2 linked regions of the Lonchura striata genome follow. The protein of the gene in region 1 binds, or shares a complex with, the protein of each later gene. Links are inferred from orthologs where the notes say so. Each region holds a gene or a part of one and is shown on either strand. Other genes may lie near its edges. The genes, in order: CNOT2 and CNOT8.

What was found.
Region 2: CNOT2 (region 1) and CNOT8 share a complex: the UniProt entries of both Homo sapiens proteins name them as parts of the CCR4-NOT complex. The link is inferred for Lonchura striata from reciprocal best matches to the Homo sapiens genes CNOT2 and CNOT8.

What each region holds. Positions count from the first base shown.
Region 1 is NC_134607.1:44,842,226-44,850,605, reverse strand, and holds the start of CNOT2 (CCR4-NOT transcription complex subunit 2), read right to left. Parts: upstream 3,128-8,380; 5' UTR 2,998-3,127; intron 2,447-2,997; exon of another isoform or gene 2,393-2,446; intron 1-2,392. UniProt on the Homo sapiens protein: Component of the CCR4-NOT complex which is one of the major cellular mRNA deadenylases and is linked to various cellular processes including bulk mRNA degradation, miRNA-mediated repression, translational repression during translational initiation and general transcription regulation.
Region 2 is NC_134617.1:5,120,743-5,128,901, forward strand, and holds the start of CNOT8 (CCR4-NOT transcription complex subunit 8), read right to left. Parts: upstream 3,032-8,159; 5' UTR 2,945-3,031; intron 1,670-2,944; 5' UTR 1,587-1,669; coding exon 1,470-1,586; intron 227-1,469; coding exon 33-226; intron 1-32. UniProt on the Homo sapiens protein: Has 3'-5' poly(A) exoribonuclease activity for synthetic poly(A) RNA substrate. Its function seems to be partially redundant with that of CNOT7.

The sequences.
Region 1 (8,380 bases):
AGTTAACCTAACTTCAGCTTCTATGCTTTTGTCAATCCTTGAAATTTACATACCTTCTGTATTAATAACAATTTAAAATAAGAAAAAGTGTATCATGTACAGAGCAATCACTTAAATCTGTCATAAAAATTTTGATTTGACTTCCTAAGGTACTGTACTTCCATAGAAACTGGTAAAAGGCTTTCTATTTAAGCTAACATTTATAAAGACACACAACAAATGTGGCAAATACTCTGCCAAGAATTTAAAAATTTTCCTTTTTGATAACGCATTTTTAAGGTGCCTTTTATTCAAGCAAATTATAGCTTTAAGGGAAGACATAATTTTAAAAGTTAGATACAGGGGTCTACTTCCATTAGAATAAAATTCTGTACTTGGTGCACTTTATATACTACCTCAAAGGAAAACAAGCAATTCAATGTTTATTTTTAGTTTCCAGATAAAGTCAGAAAGCCAGGTGATAGAAACCTCTGTTTTAATTGAAATACGGTGTGTTTTTAAGTTCTATTATCTTCTTGAGTTCATAAAAGGATGGAGGTGGAAGATATTTTTGAATAAACAAAGTTATGATACAAGGCCCCTTTAAAACCATAATGAGGTTACTACTTAGCAATTACTACACAACAGCCCTTCCATCAACATGAATATTAGGATAATTTTTAAGAAAGCTACAACAGAGGCTAAAACAGCAATAATGTTCCTGATTTCAAAGCTAATCTCTATCCAGACAGAAATGCATTTAGAAATATTAAAAAATTAAACAGAAATACTTTCTGAGATCTAAAGGTCCACTGCAGGCACATAGAATTTTCATATGAAGCTACTAAGGTAAAGACCAAGATTTTCAGGTGGAAACAGCCACTTCTTAGCATCAAACAATTTTTTAGCATCAAACTTCAGAACACACCAAGTGTCCTATTTTTTTCCACTAAATGACAATTACTAGAACTGGATTCTGTTAAAGAAAATTCAAATCTGTTTTTTTGATATAAATTTCTGGGGTTTCTTTATTTTCAGTTTTTAGCCAAGGGCTTTTCTTTCATTTCTTGATAGAACTGACACACAAATAGATTGCAATAACAATGACTACCTTGACAGCAGTATTAAGTTTCTAGAAGAGATATGTAGACAAGGTTTATCTACTACTACACTCTTAGCTTTATCAACAGATTGCTGAAAATGAAACGGAAATACACTTGCAAGTCAAGTCAGTCAGCTCTTGATAAGTGAGTATTCAAATCCCTTTCTAAAATCAGAAGCAGTCAACACCTCGAAGTTTAGCATACCAACTGAATACACAACACAAAGAACAGTGGAATTGGGGGGCAAAAAGAAGAGGGAAAAAAAGGCATGGGACAGATACATCATGTTCAAGTTCACAAAACTTGATCCTGTGAGCTATGTTCCATTAATGTGTCAGTATAAGGTAACTTAAAGTACATCAGCACATACACAACAATTCTTCCAGATCCAAAGGAAGATGCCTTTGCAATATAAACTTCTAAAATTACTTTGCTCTTGCAGGTCTTCACAAGTCTGAAACAAATCCAAGTTTTCCAAAAGATAAAGTTTTCCAATAACAGGCATGACAGCAGGTTTGATCATCTTAATCTATCCTTCCCCAGCTGAAGAGTTAAGACTAGCAGCCAGTCACCAACACCAGATGTTGCTGCTTGTGCAGGCACATAGGAGTGTCTCCTCCACGCACTCAAGTCACATAAACACATATATGTTTATGAAAGATACACAGAAAGTTCTTATCCTCCCCTGGGGATAAAACACTGCAAAGTTGGGAACAACTTTTTCCCTGATAAAAGAGACAGCAGAAATTAAACATGCTTGTGTTAGATTTGAATAAGCAGCAGAAGCAAATACCACCTTACACAAACATATTTTCATTTTCCCACATTACAGAGCCTCCAAAACAAAGTTACTTGTAACTTCACCAAAAAAACCCCATCCTAAAACCAAGAACACCCATTAGTTGGTCCTTGTTTTCACCAGAAGCATACATACACTAACTAGACTGCTAACACTGACACTTGCATCTTTTCCCACCGCCCTACTGTCCCCCTCTTATCCCTAACCTGTCACCCTGTGCCACCTCCTCTCCCAGCACGGGTCAGGCTCACGCCAGAGCTTGTCATCGCCGCCCAGGCGGGCAGGGGAAGGCTGGTTCCTTCCTCCGGCGCCCGCGCTCTGTCCCTTTCAAGTTTGTTTTACAAACACGTCCGAGGGAAAGCCAGAACCTGTTTACACACAGCCTTAACCTGCACCAGGAGGAGAGTGAAACAGACGCAGGAGAAAAAAAAAAAAAAAAAAAGTAAAAAAAAAAAAAAGAAAATAAAATAATTTTTCAACCGAAAGCCAGCCAGCAACACCCCCATCTCACCGCCTTTCTCCGCCCGGGGCCCGCGGCGCAGGCCGCACGGCCGCTCGGCGGAGCGCGGGGCCAGCGCGGCCCCGGCCGTGGGCGGCAGGTTCCGCTGCCCCGGCGCCGGGCCCGGGGAAGGCGGCGGGCGGGGGCCGGGCGGCCGCGCAGCCCCGCGGGGCCGGGCTCGGAGGGACGGAGGAGGCCTGGGACCAGCCGGCGGGGCGGCGGCGGGAAGAAGCCGGTCGGGCGGGCCGAGTGGGCCGCAGGGCGAGCTGCCAACGGCGGCCGCGGGGATGCGGGGCCCAAACACAGCCGGGCCGCGGGCTCGCCCGTCCCCGCAGCGGCGCCCGGGGGTCCCGCCGCCCGCGGCCGCGGAGGAGGGCGGGGGGCGGCGGGCCGGGCCGGGCCTGCGGCTGCGCCCCCGGCTCGGGCGCCGCGCGTCCCCCCCGCTCCCCCTCGGAGACAAAAGCAAACGGAAACACGGCGGGGCGGCCCCAGGTCCACCGAGCCTCGCCGAGGGCCGCGCCGCCGCCCGGGCCTCCCACATCGGGCCGCGGCCGGGACGGCGGCGAGGCCCGTGTCGGCGGCGGGGCCGGGGAAGGGGCGGCCGGGGCCGGACTCACCGCATGAATTTTCTTGTCCCGCGAATCCAAGATGGCTGAGTATCCAGCACGGAGGATGCTGGGGGAGCAACCTTTACCCTCTGACCCGGCCGCCGCCGTGACCCCGCCGCCGCTCGTCCCGGCCGCCGGCGCCGAGGGGCGGGGGCAGCGCCGCTGCACCGCCCGCAACGGCTCGGCCCTGCGGAGGGGCTGGGGGGGACGGGAGGAAGGGGAGGAGGAAGAGCAGCGAGGCTCCCTCGGCTGCGCTCCCTCCGCCTCCCGCGGGAGACGCGGCCCAGCGCTGGGGGCAGGGCCCGCAGGCCGCGGGGCTGCCGGATGCCGCCGGTGCCCGCCGGCCCCGCCGAGACGCTGCTGGCCGGGGACGCGCCCGGCCCAGATCCCGTTCTCTGAGGGGAGAGGGCGCCGGCCTGGCGTGCCGGGCCAGATCGGGGCGTGGGGGTCAGCAGGGTCGGGGCGCAGCGGGGCTCTCCGGTCCTCCCCTCGCTGTGCTCCCCGGGGCTGCCGGGGCCTCTGGAGACCTACCCCGGGTGGACGCGCTCCCTTGGCGAGCGCCCCGGCTTCCAGAGAGGGTGTCCCATCCTCCACGGCCCTGCTCTGTCAACTCCCTTTGGGTTGCAGAGCGCAGAAGGAGCGGCCTGGCCTCTCCGCAGGCTGTGCATCATCCTGTGGAGGTTCTAGGTCAGGAACGACCCGACGATGGGGTAAATTGTGTCAAAGTTCCCATTTTCTCTGGAGTGTGATAGCAGTAGAGAGACAGGTCCAGCTATTAACTTTGTGTGTTAATAAAGAGGAAAAGCATTTACAAGATGACCTAAGTGGACTTTTAATTTATCGACCCACAAAATGTGTGTTATAGCAGTGGCTTCAGTACAGCCAGTGCTGATGCACAAAACACTCATGCAAATAATCCCCTTGAATTTAATGAGACTGTCAATGGTAAAAAAGCTAAGCCTTTGCACAAGTGTTCACAGGATAATGGCCAACATCATTTGTGAGCTGGGTGCTCTGCTCCATCAAAAAAAACCAAACCAAAACAAAACAAAACAAAACAAAACAATGGCACTGACACCTTAGTTTGTAAAATCATCATAAAGTTTAAAATTTCAAGCAAAGATATGAGCAGCAATAGCAGGTTTCTTTCAATAGTTTCACACGTGTGCTTTCTTCTCAGGTTTGATTTTGAACCTTCAGATTGAATTTAGAATTACTGAAGAACTCATTAGGTTACACAACACTAATATTTTATAGAAAAAGGTACTACAGTAACATGTCTATCAACATAAATACATTTTGAAGATAAAAGAGCAGCCTTCCTTTTAAGCCAGGAGACCAGTTTCTTTTTGCCACCAGCTTTAGTTGTGTGATGAGAATGGCTGCCATGTCATTGAAATGGATGTGTATATACACCATCCAGGAAGGCACTGCATTTTATTATTCCAATCACAAACCTTTGTGACAAATTCATGCATTTGCTAGAATCAAACCATTAGAAAGTACCAAAAGTGACATGCTGTTTATAGTATGAACTTCTGGACCACTTTTGTTGTTCAGTCTGAAAAATCAAAAATTTCCTCTTACCACAAATCAAATACAAAAGCAGTACTTTTATACTGAAAAATACAATCAGTGTTATTAACCTTCAGTGTTATTAGTGTTTATATAGTCTGATTCTTTTATATCTGATTATAAACATCTTGCTTCATTATATTTCATTTCACACTTCTTCACTGGTCTGACTTTCTTTTTTAAAAGCTAATTTTCCTTCAATTTTCCCAAAGAGAAGTCATTAAGACAATACCAAACAATATGCTGTAAGTAAACTAAGAACCTGATATTGTCATTGCATGTACATGGGCTGATCTCTCTGTTCATTGCAAAGTAACACTTTACATACAAATCAATTAGCATTTATAGGACAAGAAGCTTGACTAGCTCAACAGAGCTAGTAATGGGGAAAAAAGTGTGTTATCTTGTGTTAGACTGGTTAGTTTAGTATAAACAACCCAACCTGCACTCACAATATGTGTAAATTGTGATTAAAATTCTGTTAACTGAAAAAAATCTAACCTGTCCTTCTGCTTAACTCTGTGTTTAGTTGAGGAAGTTCATTACTCAAGCTGTAGTAGCTGTGTATTCTACTTCCTCTTTTGTTTTCTTAAAGAAAGTGAAAGCATTTAGTGTTTTGATGTGTTAAAATAACGTCCAAGGCTACCAGTAAAGAAGGTGTATTGTCAAGTATGTGCTCATACCTTTGCTGCTTTTAGTCTTGACTCAATACATTTTGTTACAAAGGTGAGGTCTGTTTCCCATAGTTGCATCTGCTTAATTAAAGAAGTGCCCTGAACGCAACTAACACGAGGACTGATAATTTGTGTGGACAGTCCTAATCCATTTTGAACCATGTATGGTAGAGTTTTACCTCATTCTTTAGGTCTTTGTCTACAAACTGATATGCATCTGTTATTTTTATTCTCATTTAATCAATGGTCTCTTACTATTTACTTATTCCACAGACTAGGTTGATACACATCCATCTTCAATCAGTGTAAGAATGCCTGTAGGAGTCAATCTGAAAACTTTTGTCTATAGCAGCACAGGTGAAGGAACTACAAAGCATGATTACAGAAACCTGTCCTGCATGTGATCATGTGTGCAGGCCCCTGCAGTCAACAATCCATGTGTTGCCATTGACACAGCCTTCTACCTAATGTTCTTGAAAGCTGGGCCCTGAAAGCATGTGTTCTGAAGCACTCCCAACACTTGCCTACCATCCGTTTGGACTTCACTGGCTAATGCTTCTGCTAGTACCTACAGAAGGCTAAAAACCAACAGCACTTGGCTGGAAAGTTTGGGAAGAGGTCATCAAAAGAGTCAGGTGTGCTTTGAATCCCCAAATGCTTAGCTCCAGAGAGTTCATCAACACTCCGTGACTCAAAGTATCACCAACAGATGTGGGCAATGCAGGTGCAGAAGTGGGAGAAATTACCCAGAGTATGTGTAGGGCAGGGTTAGGCTGTTCCACTTCACCAAAACGTGAAATTAAATTAGTCATAGTAAGACGACCATCCTCACTTAAGAGTGGAGGCAGAACATGGTGAATTAGCAACCCTATAAGCAATTTTTAAATAGAACAAAAATGTTAATTGAAATGCAGTTTTTCTCCCACCTATGTATTGTCACCAGAGTTTTCAGGAAAAACAAATACAGTGCAATCACCTGGAGCAAGAGTTGGCAGCTTTTCAGCAGTGGTGAAACAAGGTTGTATTTTTCTTTCCCAGATTATGGATTAAGTCCCTTGGAAGAAACAGCTTGAATTGCAAAGTGCATTTGATCAGCTAAAACAGTGAAATACTGCTTCAGGAGAAGACAGAGGTTTCTGTTTTCTGCAGCTTCTCCCTAATCTATTTCTTACTTAATGATGTTCAAAAGTGCCTCCATTGCTTTATTTGGAAGGTTGTAGGGTTACAGCACTGCACTGCATTAATCTGTGGCCTAGAAGAACGTGGCAGATTTTTTTCATTAGTACAGCCTATTTGATTTTTCAAATATTTCTATAACAGGAGGATAAAGGTATGTCAAAATGTACACCAAATCTAATATTAGAGATTATCTATTAATTAATCTATTATTAGAGATTAGAGAGGTGTTGACAACACTTTTTTTTTCCCAAGAACAAAAGCACTGAGACCTCACATTTTCTTAGTGTATTTACTTGTAGTTCTTAACTATTACACTGAAATTGAGCACAAAATATTTAGATTTGTGCAGATTTGGTTAGATAGTTTGACTTTTGCAAGTTAGTCTCCAGTTGCTAGTGCATTTAAGAAAGGTAGGGGAAGGATCAGCTGTTTCCATGGCACTGTCCTTATCTATCCTTTCACTCCTACAGGGGATTTCCAGGGATGGCTGCTGGCAAGGGAAGCCCTAGAAGTGCAGCTCAATTACTATTTTAGCGTTAAAATGCATCACAAGGTATCCACACAGATGGCTTCTCATCTGCTGGATTTGTAGTTTCCAGGAGGGAATATTGGGAGCAGAAGTATCTTTATCTCAGTCTTTCATATTTTTACTACCAGGAAACCCTTTCTCAGCCTTCTGCTCTAGTGCCTTCAGTGTCTGATTTAGTGCTAATTATAACAGAGTATCAGGGGGAAAAAATACCAAATTTAAAAAGAAGTCTGACAATTCTGGAAAGTAATATGACCCCAAAGAGGAGATAAAATGTAGCATTTTCCCAAAATAAGATGCTTCACATTGCTGTATAGCAACTAAGAAGTCTACCAGCGTGCTAGTAAATGAGAGGATAAATCAAGAATTAGAGATAGCAGTTTCAAGTGTTTGTTTAGACAAAGAGAAGAATAATGATGCAGATGGAAATATGTTTTCTGGGGGAGAGAAGCATTAGAGATACAAGCCAGTGCCCGAGTAGGTGCTGACTGACATTCCTGAACAACATTATCCCCAAAGAGATGGAAGTTATGGCAGTGGGGAAAGAGAAACCCTTTTTATGTTAGTTCTCAAGATTGCAGTCAGCTGATGGTCATTGGGGAGCAGCCTGGTCAGAAGTGCTATTTCTCTTTTGAAACAATTGAATCATGGAATCATAGATTTGCTTAAGTTGGAAAAGACCTTTAAGATCAGAAAGTCTAATTGTTAGCCCAGTACTTCCAGGTTCATCACTAACCTCTGCCCCCAAGTTCATCACTAATCTGTGTCCCCAAGTGCCACCTTCTCACATTCTTTGAACACATTCTTCTCACTGGGACTTCCAATGGACTAGATTACCTTACAGTTAGCTTGGCCTTTCCAGTTCAAGTGTTCCCTTGGGAGAAAGACAATATGACAAATCACAGTTATATTCAAACATGGAATATCACGAGCAAGAATTTTATTCATTTTAGTATTGTTAGAATGGCAAAAGATTTTGTGAGAAATAGTTGTGGTTGCCATATCCTTGTTAGCAATCTGTAGTAACACCCAGATAAATTACTAGCCAAAGGCTGATGAGTATGTTTTTGGTTTTTTGTGGGTTTTTTGTGTACAAATATGAGATAATCTGAGATCTATTCAGTGGACCAGATATACTTTGGCCCTGTGCTATAATCCCCATTCAGCCTGCAGTGGTTTTTTATTGAGGACATTTATGGATATTTCACATGCTCAACCAGTAAAAGGATACTTGGTACTCTGAGACCTGAAACCAATTGAGGTTTGGTCAGAAAATAAATCTGACTTCATCATTCCCAATATTGTTTCTCAAAGACAGTGGCCTTTCTTCTGTTGGTTAATATTTCCTTACACATATGAAGAAAAATGTAAATGGAATAATTTTATTGCAGCAGGTCTTGTGCCAATCAAGACCATGTTCTATCCATCCTTCAGC
Region 2 (8,159 bases), on another chromosome or scaffold:
ACAGGAAATTAATGCCAAGCCCAAAGACTCACGTGAGGTTGAATTTGAAGTTGAACTGCCAGGTGTTAATGCCAGAAGGGTATTCCCCCTTCTCATTTGTGAAAGTCAGGCCCAGCTGGATGATTTTCAGCAGGTCAACGTTACAGCGAAGGAGCTGGTACTGATAATCTATGGAGCTGCGGAATTCACCGATTGGCCTGACAACGACTCCAGGGAACTCCGTGTCCTGGCAGAGAAGGGAAAACTGAGTTTCACCATGGATTCTGTCAGCAGTCATTATTACCACTCTGTGAGGGCAGCCCAGACAGTGAAAACCTTCACAGCTTCTGAGGAACAGTCAATGCCCACATTAACAAAAACTGCTGTCAGTCAAACACACCTCAACAACAGCAGCCACCTATCAGATAAAAACCATCTGTTAGGTGAAAAACCTCTTACCCAGCCAGTGACTGTGTGCAGTCTGTGCTGAACACCAAACTGCCGCTGTTCCTACCCTCAGACTGGGTCACTGAGCTTCTGCTGACTACACACAAAATCTTTCACAATGAAGCCAGTGCTGTGCACCTGACATAATCTCTCCCTTGCCCAAGAAGTTTATCTGTCTACTCATACAGCACAGTCACTCAAACAAACCCTAAGAACACCTCCAGTGAGACTGAAAAGAAGCAAAAAGTTCATTTCCCATTGACAAATGTTAACAAAAAAATCATACTCACTTCCACAGCTGAATTTGACACCAAAATCCCCCACACTCTGCAAAGGCACCTGTCTTTTGCCACATTTTAATGAGGACTTTTCAGATTTTGAGGTTCAGTGCTCCTAAGCAAAGCTGGCAGAACTTACAGTACCACAGCTAAAACCAGTTCTTTATCTAACACACTGGGGTGCTGCCAAGCAGATACAGACTTGTAAGAGCAGGAGGAGATTCCTCCCACCTAGGGGAGATTATGCTCTTCTTAAATAAAGCTTTCTGAACATATTGTCTTATCTACAGCCAGAATATTTTTCTTCCCTAAGAATCAACATCTGCCTTCATTTGAAAGGAGGCAGCCCAGCTGCTAGCAGTGACTTGCAAGCCTTTTGACCACCACTCCCATAGCATCATCTATAATCAAATGAAGAAAAACATTCAAAGGACAAACACACTGGTGGAAAAATAAGGATTTAAACCCAATTGTTACTTGTTTAATTTTCCTGCTGCACAAATGAATACACTCTGAATAGCTAAATATTAAATAAATTCACGTTTTTAAGTTAGTCTCCTTCTTCCCCTTCTTTCAATCAACCCATACTCATCACCGCTTGTATTAAATTCTGAAAAGCTACCAAACAGCTTTTTATTTTTTCACCTCTTTTAGTTCAAATTTTCAGGGGGTAGGAAGAAACATTTCTCACTCAAGAATCAACTTAGTCCACAACCCCAAAAAATCCCTTGACTAAGGCAATTAGGTCAAGTATAAAACATTTACCATGGCAATGTAGCTGTAACTCAGAACAATCTCCCGAATTTTCCTCATCTCTTCCTCCAGGTTGTTGGCCCATACTTCACAGATAACCTGGCTGTTTTCTGCAAGGGCTGCTGGCATCTTGCAGGGACCAGAAAAAAGGCAGCTGATGCTGAACTCAAATGACAGTGCAGGATCACAAGCTGTGCAATCTTATCAGTGTGCTGCATTAAAGAGATAAATAAATAATGCTTTAAGTGAAGGAAGAATAACATGTGAATAAATGAGCTGTAGGAGTCAGTCACACTACCATTTTCACCTTCAAACAACCTGTTTAAAGTTTACACCAAGTTTTCCTGCTTTATCACTTTCTGTGAACATGCTGAATGAAATCAAGAGCATTTGTTCACAATATAAAAGTAGATGCACAATCAACAGTCCAGTAGAATCATTACTCCTATCTTCCTTTTCCTGGCATAAGCTTTGACACTTAGGGCACAAGACGTACAGGCAGGGAATCCTCATCTGTAACTCTCAACCCTCACTCCAGGGATATTTCTCCATCCCTGGAAGTGTTCAGGGCCAGGCTGGATGGAGCTCTGAGCACCCTGGTCTAGTGGAAGGTGTCCCTGCCCACAGCTGGGGGGAGGAATGAGATGATCTTGAAGGTCCTCTCCAATCCAAACCCCACTGTGATTCTATGATGAAGACAATTGTTTAAACACAGTAACAGAATGCATTAGAGAGAATACTCATTGGATGGAGTTTCAAGGGGTAGAAATATCTAAAGGGGGTGCTAAGAAGATGGAGCCGGGCTCATCTTCGTGATGCCAAGCGACAGAACAAGAGTCAATGGGCAGCAAGTCATGCACAGAAGTTTCCTCTGAACATGAGGAAGAATATGAGCAAAAACTGTGCAGGGACCGGGCACGGGAACAGCTTGCCCAGAGAGGTTTTGGAGGCTGCCTCAATGGAGATTTTCCAGAATGGCCTGGACACAATCCTGTACCACATACTCTGGGATGACCACACTTGAGCAGGGAGGTTGAACCAGGTAACCCACTGCGGTCCCTCCCAACCCATTCTGGGCTTCTTCCCCCTGGGCTGTGACTCGGGGCACACTGCGGCGGGCTGTTCCGGCTGGAACCACCGGCAGCGCCAGCAGCGCCCCAGCTCGGGCGAGCCACCGGCTGGTGCCGCTTTCCCGTAATAAAAACCCCGGCGAACCGCCGCCAGGCGTCTGCGAGCGGCCTGCGCCAGCGCAGGGACGAGCGCACCGCCGCGGCGCGGCCCGGGTCGCCTCAGGGCCCCTCACAGCCCGCGGGCGGCCGGACGCGGCTCAGCGCGGCCGGCAAGCGGGAGGGCCGCCGCCCGCCGAAGCCCAGCGCCAGGCGCGGCCCCGCAGCCGCGGTGGCGGTGCCGGTGGCGGTGCCGGTGGCAGTGCCGGTGGCAGTGCCGGTGCCGGTGGCAGTGCCGGTGCCCGCCCCGCTCCCCGGTACCTCCCGGCAGCCGCGGCCGGGACGCGCCGCTCCCGCCCCGCGCCGGCTCCGAGTGCCCCGCCGCGAGGGGCGGCGCTTCCGCCGCTCGCGCCGCTTTGCCTCTCGCGAGACGTGGCGGAGCGCGCGACGGGGCGGGTACATCTGCCCAGCCCACACCGGCTGGTGCTTCCCCCCCCTCCCCCCGCTCCCGCAGTGGGCTCGCCCGGGCTCCCCGCGCTGAGAATGGCGGGCGAGTCCAAACTCCGCGGGCGGAGGGGGGAGGGATGAAGGAGCTGGGTGTCTCCGCTCCCTGAGGGAGGCGTCGCCATAACGCCCGCCGGGGCTGCGGTGGGCTTCCAGCATGGGGAGCCCCCGGCACCCCGATCCCTTGGGACAGGGGCTGCGCCGGGCCCCGGCTGAGCGTCCCCGAAAGAAGCAGCGGCCGCCCCTCCCTGAGCAAGGGGAGGTGAGGGGGTCCCGGTCGGGGTGAGGCCCGAGCCCCCCCGGGCTCCCAGGCCGCGGGCGCGCAGGGTGGGAGCGGGATGAGGGTTTGTGTTCCAAGGGGATTTCCTGAAGCTGCTGGCCTGGCACGCGTTGCTCCTACGGTGTAGTGCGTATTAAGCTTATTAATGGAGCAAGTTCTGCTTCTTCCTGCAGGGGCTTAGAAGTCATTTAAGTCCCTACTACTACACCTGCAGACTTATAGGCTTCTGTTCCAGGAGTGGAATTTACATTACGTTAGCAACAGAAGGTTGTAGCTGGTAAAGCAGATACTGGTTGTGTAACACGGCTTTGCTGGCTGATGCTGATGGTACATAGGCAATTCATTTGGAAGCTCGTCTACTAATTAAACTTAGATCGTATTTCCTTTATTTTAGACTGCCGTCCTTCTGGACGGGGTTGCATCTTTTGTAAAATATATATTAAAATATAAATAAAATATATAATCAATAAATTATATACCTAGATTATAGATATAGCTGTATATCTAGATAATATATAGATATATATAACCTATATATCTAGATATATAGATTATATATCTATATATATATAGATTATAATCTGCATCTATAAAATATCTCTAAAATATGTGCCTCTATAAATATATATGTTCTGGTACTGGATTGTCTGCCCACCATATGGGAGTCTTTCCCTGAATCTCGGCTACTTGCCCAGCATTTTGATCAAAGTATCTGGAAAAGCAGATATTGGTATCTTTCACACATCAGACACCATTCAATGTCTCAGGTTTTATGTTCATGCCTCAGCAGAAATGTTGCCGTTAGAAAAGAAGAGGGTTTTTCAAGAGTTGCTGTGTTGAGTGACCTTGCTGCTGTCAGCATCTTGGTACATTCCCTTTATTGCGCATTATTTTGATTCAGAGTTTTATCTTCAGGGATGATAGAAAGTTACTGTTTTGCCTTATCTCTGCAGTCTCTGGTGTTGTGCAATTTATGCAACATGCAATATGCTACACTGCCAGAAAGTAACCACCTTTCTTCCTGTGGTCATTTGAGTCTGGGGTTTTGTACAAGGAAATCTGTGTTGTTAGCAGGTAAATTCAGCAGGCTGGATTACAGCACCCTGTAAATATAAGATGAAATTTTTATTTCCCAGAAGAGTTCAGAGACATTTTTCTTGCTCGTAAACCTGGTGCTTGAAGGGATGTTGAATCGAGGGGAAAAGGGAGGATGCATCTCCTCAGGCCACTGTAAATATCTGTGCCTTGGTACTGTAATAAAAAATGTTGCAGGCAATAATCACCTGTGATAAATTACATTTGTAGTGTGTAAAAATTTGTCTGTAAAACAAAGCTGTTCAGAGATGTTTGCAAGCACTGGAGACACAGTTTGCTCGAAGAAATCAGAATTTTTTTCAAACATGACATGGCTAATAAAGATTCAGAATAGCTGGAAGAGGCACCCTGCTCTTTAAAAAGTCCCATCATTTCTGTATTTGGAGGTTACCAAGGTTGCTTCCAGCTCCAGCACTCCAAAGCAAGTCTTGAAGAGTCCTCACATCTACATACGAGTGTAGAGCTGCATTATAAGGTGGAATAAAGGTCTTTAGCTCAATGTTTTCACACTGGGCAGCTGGAGCTGCATGTCCTGTTGTGCCTTTTCTTTAGAGCTTACTCACAGCACCACAAGAAACCTTCCTTGTGGGAACCCTGAAAGGTGAATTTATGTTTTCCTCAGCCTTCTGTTGTTCCACAAGTGCTCCCAAAGCACTGCAGTGCTAGGTGGTGGCACACGTGCCCTGGCAGAGGGTGAGAGATCTGGTTCAGAATGCAGGGAATTAGGCAGTGGGTGATGTGTGCCAAGTTCAGATTCCTCTTCAGCCTTTTGAGGAACTATCAGTATGGGCTTGTCCAGTCCCCTGAAAGATACTTCATAGATTTCCCCCTGATGTTCCTCTCAAACAGTGAAACAACCAGTGCTTATTACAAAAACTCTGGGGAGTGAACAAAGTTGTGTTAGGAAGTGTCTGATCAAAAAGCTTTTTTTGCTGAGAAGGAATCAGACTTCTTGCATGGCTCAGCAAAGATTGCAGCAGCATTGGAGTGTCTGTGGCAGAGACACCAGCGCAGGGCAGCCAGCAGGCAGAAGCAGCAGTTTGATCAGTGACAACCTGTGCTAGACACACAATTGCAGCAGAAGTTCAATGGCACTTACAACCCTATGACTAATGTGCTGAGTTGTCCCTATGGGTATGAATATTTCAGAGATCACCCATGCTGGAATTGAGCAGTGGTTCACAAGGAACACTGAGGTCTGAAATTCACTATTGGCTGTTGGTTGAACAGCCCTCCCCCTGCAAGCTCACATCCAAAGATCAGTGAGGACGTTATCCTTATGGCACCCCTCTCTTGAGATGCTCATTTCCACTTCCTCCTCTTCGTGAGTAAATAGTTTGAAGGAATCACATTCCTCTCTGTTGAGCCTGCTCTGTGTGATAAATACCAATTAGTAGCAACAGCTAAGAACTACAGTTTCTGTCCCTACCAGGGAATAGTTGGAACTAGGCAAGAAAAAGTGATGATGGAAGCAGTAACAGTGTTAAACACTGTTCACTCTTGCAGAGCTCTCTGCAGTTCCAGCTCTGCTGGAACTAGGTGTTACTGAGAAAAAGCATGTGTTGCTTCACCTGAGAAGGGCAAACAAGGATAACTGGGAGGCAGAGGTAGTATTCCCTGTTTTTCCTCCTGTGAAAAATAGATCTGGAGAGTTATGATAGTAACACGCTCAGTTCTCAGAGCTTAGTTTGCAATAGGGCACTATTTATGGGCTGAGTAACAGATTGGGGCCACATTTGCATAAGAAAGATCGATGCCGCTGTAAATTACATCTTGCTCTCTGCAATACCATAATTACACACTTTATGGTCTGTAAACAACATGCTTAAAGACAACTGAGCCCAAGTACATGCTAACCTATGTGTGTCTTCATCTTAGCCATGCAAGCAAAGCCTGTTACTGGTTGAGGGCACTGTGTAGCAACAGAGTTGGAGTAATTTTTAGATTTAGTACAACAGGATTAAATCTGGACTGCTGGGTTTTTGCCAAATTCCACAGTAACCCTTACTGATTTTAACAAATACCTTTGACCCATTCAGTTGCACTGGCAGTAGCTATTTTGTGCTCCAGCCATGAGTTGGTGAATTATAAAAACTACTTACTTTTAGGGGTGTTGGTGGATTTTTTGTTCTCAGGTACAACGATGAAAAACTTACCTGCAGAATCAGTGTATTCCACGTGCTTAACTGAGTAACAGCATGCACATAGACATGGGGAACAGTGCCAGCACTAACAGTGACATGGCACTGGCTTCACATGACTTGTCTGGGAGGGGACAGGCAGCTCCTGCTTGGAAACACACCCCTATTGCCCTTGCCTAAACCCTCATAAAGTTTCGACAGGAGATGTGAAAAGTGAGGAGCTGAACTCTGCTCTGAACAGACAAAAAGGACCTCTCCTAGGCTACCATCAGGCAGGTGGTGAGAAAGAACAGGCAGCCAGAGTTCAAGGGTGCTTGAAAAGATATGATAGAGACTTTGAGGAAGTCATTAAAAGGCAGTGTCATGTCTGTGTGAAGTCCATTGTCAGCTTTTCTAGGAACAGGGGTTCCCCTAAAACTGTGCAGTGCTTGGTAGGACATCAAACACCACTTCTGGTCCTGTGTCTCTCTACACAGAAATGCGGCTGTTCAGGTGACCAGGTAAGTGGTCCTGTGTTTTTTGTTCTGTATGTTCTGTACTTCTGTGGATAGTCACAGCCTTTGTTCTCCCAGGAACAATTTTCCACTGTCTGTGCCATATAAAGGTTGATTTCAGTGAAGTAAGACCTACACCAGAGACTTCAGGAGGAAGGCACAGGGAATCCCAGGGAGCTGGGGTGGGCAGCCAGTCCATCACCTCAGATGGAGCTGTTCTGAGCTGTGTCTGCCGTGCACAGAAGGACGCAGTGCAGTGGGTGCAGTACAGGGAAGGGGCACCTGTGCTGCCTCAGCTTGAGGCTTTCTGGGCACCAGAAGGAAAACAGAACTGCAGGCATGGGGCATAAATAATAATTTACATGTAAACAAAAAAAAAGTAACAAATACAGCAGGGTTTTTTTCAGATTCTACTCAGATTGTATTGAGCATTATACTATGTATTATATTGAGCATTTTAAAACATGACTTAGACAAGCTAGCTTTTTTACAGTACCAAAAGTGAAAAATTCAGTGAAAACAAGATCTATGACTTAATGAACAGTTTTTGGGCAAATTAAGTTACACATGGAAATAATAATATTAAAAAATGTATTACAATTCTTGATTGACTAGTGTATGTTTCCCCTTTAATGTCAAAAGACTGATTAGAAAGGCAATTACTTTTACTCCAGGGTTGAGAATTTGCTTTGGATCAAATTTTGTGTTAACTAATTCAAAATAACGGGAAAGGAACTTTTTTTAAAGCAGTAGTAGTTATAGCTGATATTTGGAAATAGCTACAGGCAGCTGAGAGCTTCAGTGGTTGATTTGGGGCTGTAAAATATGCCAACATGAGAGCAGTGCCAAGCAGCTGAATGGCTTTTTTGTTTGCTGAAACAGCCATGGTTACATGAATGTTTTTTTAATGTATTTGGTGCATTCTGAATGAGGAGAGACATTACACAATAAAAAAAGAGTAGGTAATGAGATGTTGGGGAAAACCTACTCCAATTTTTTTCTGGGTTTAATGTAAATGTAAA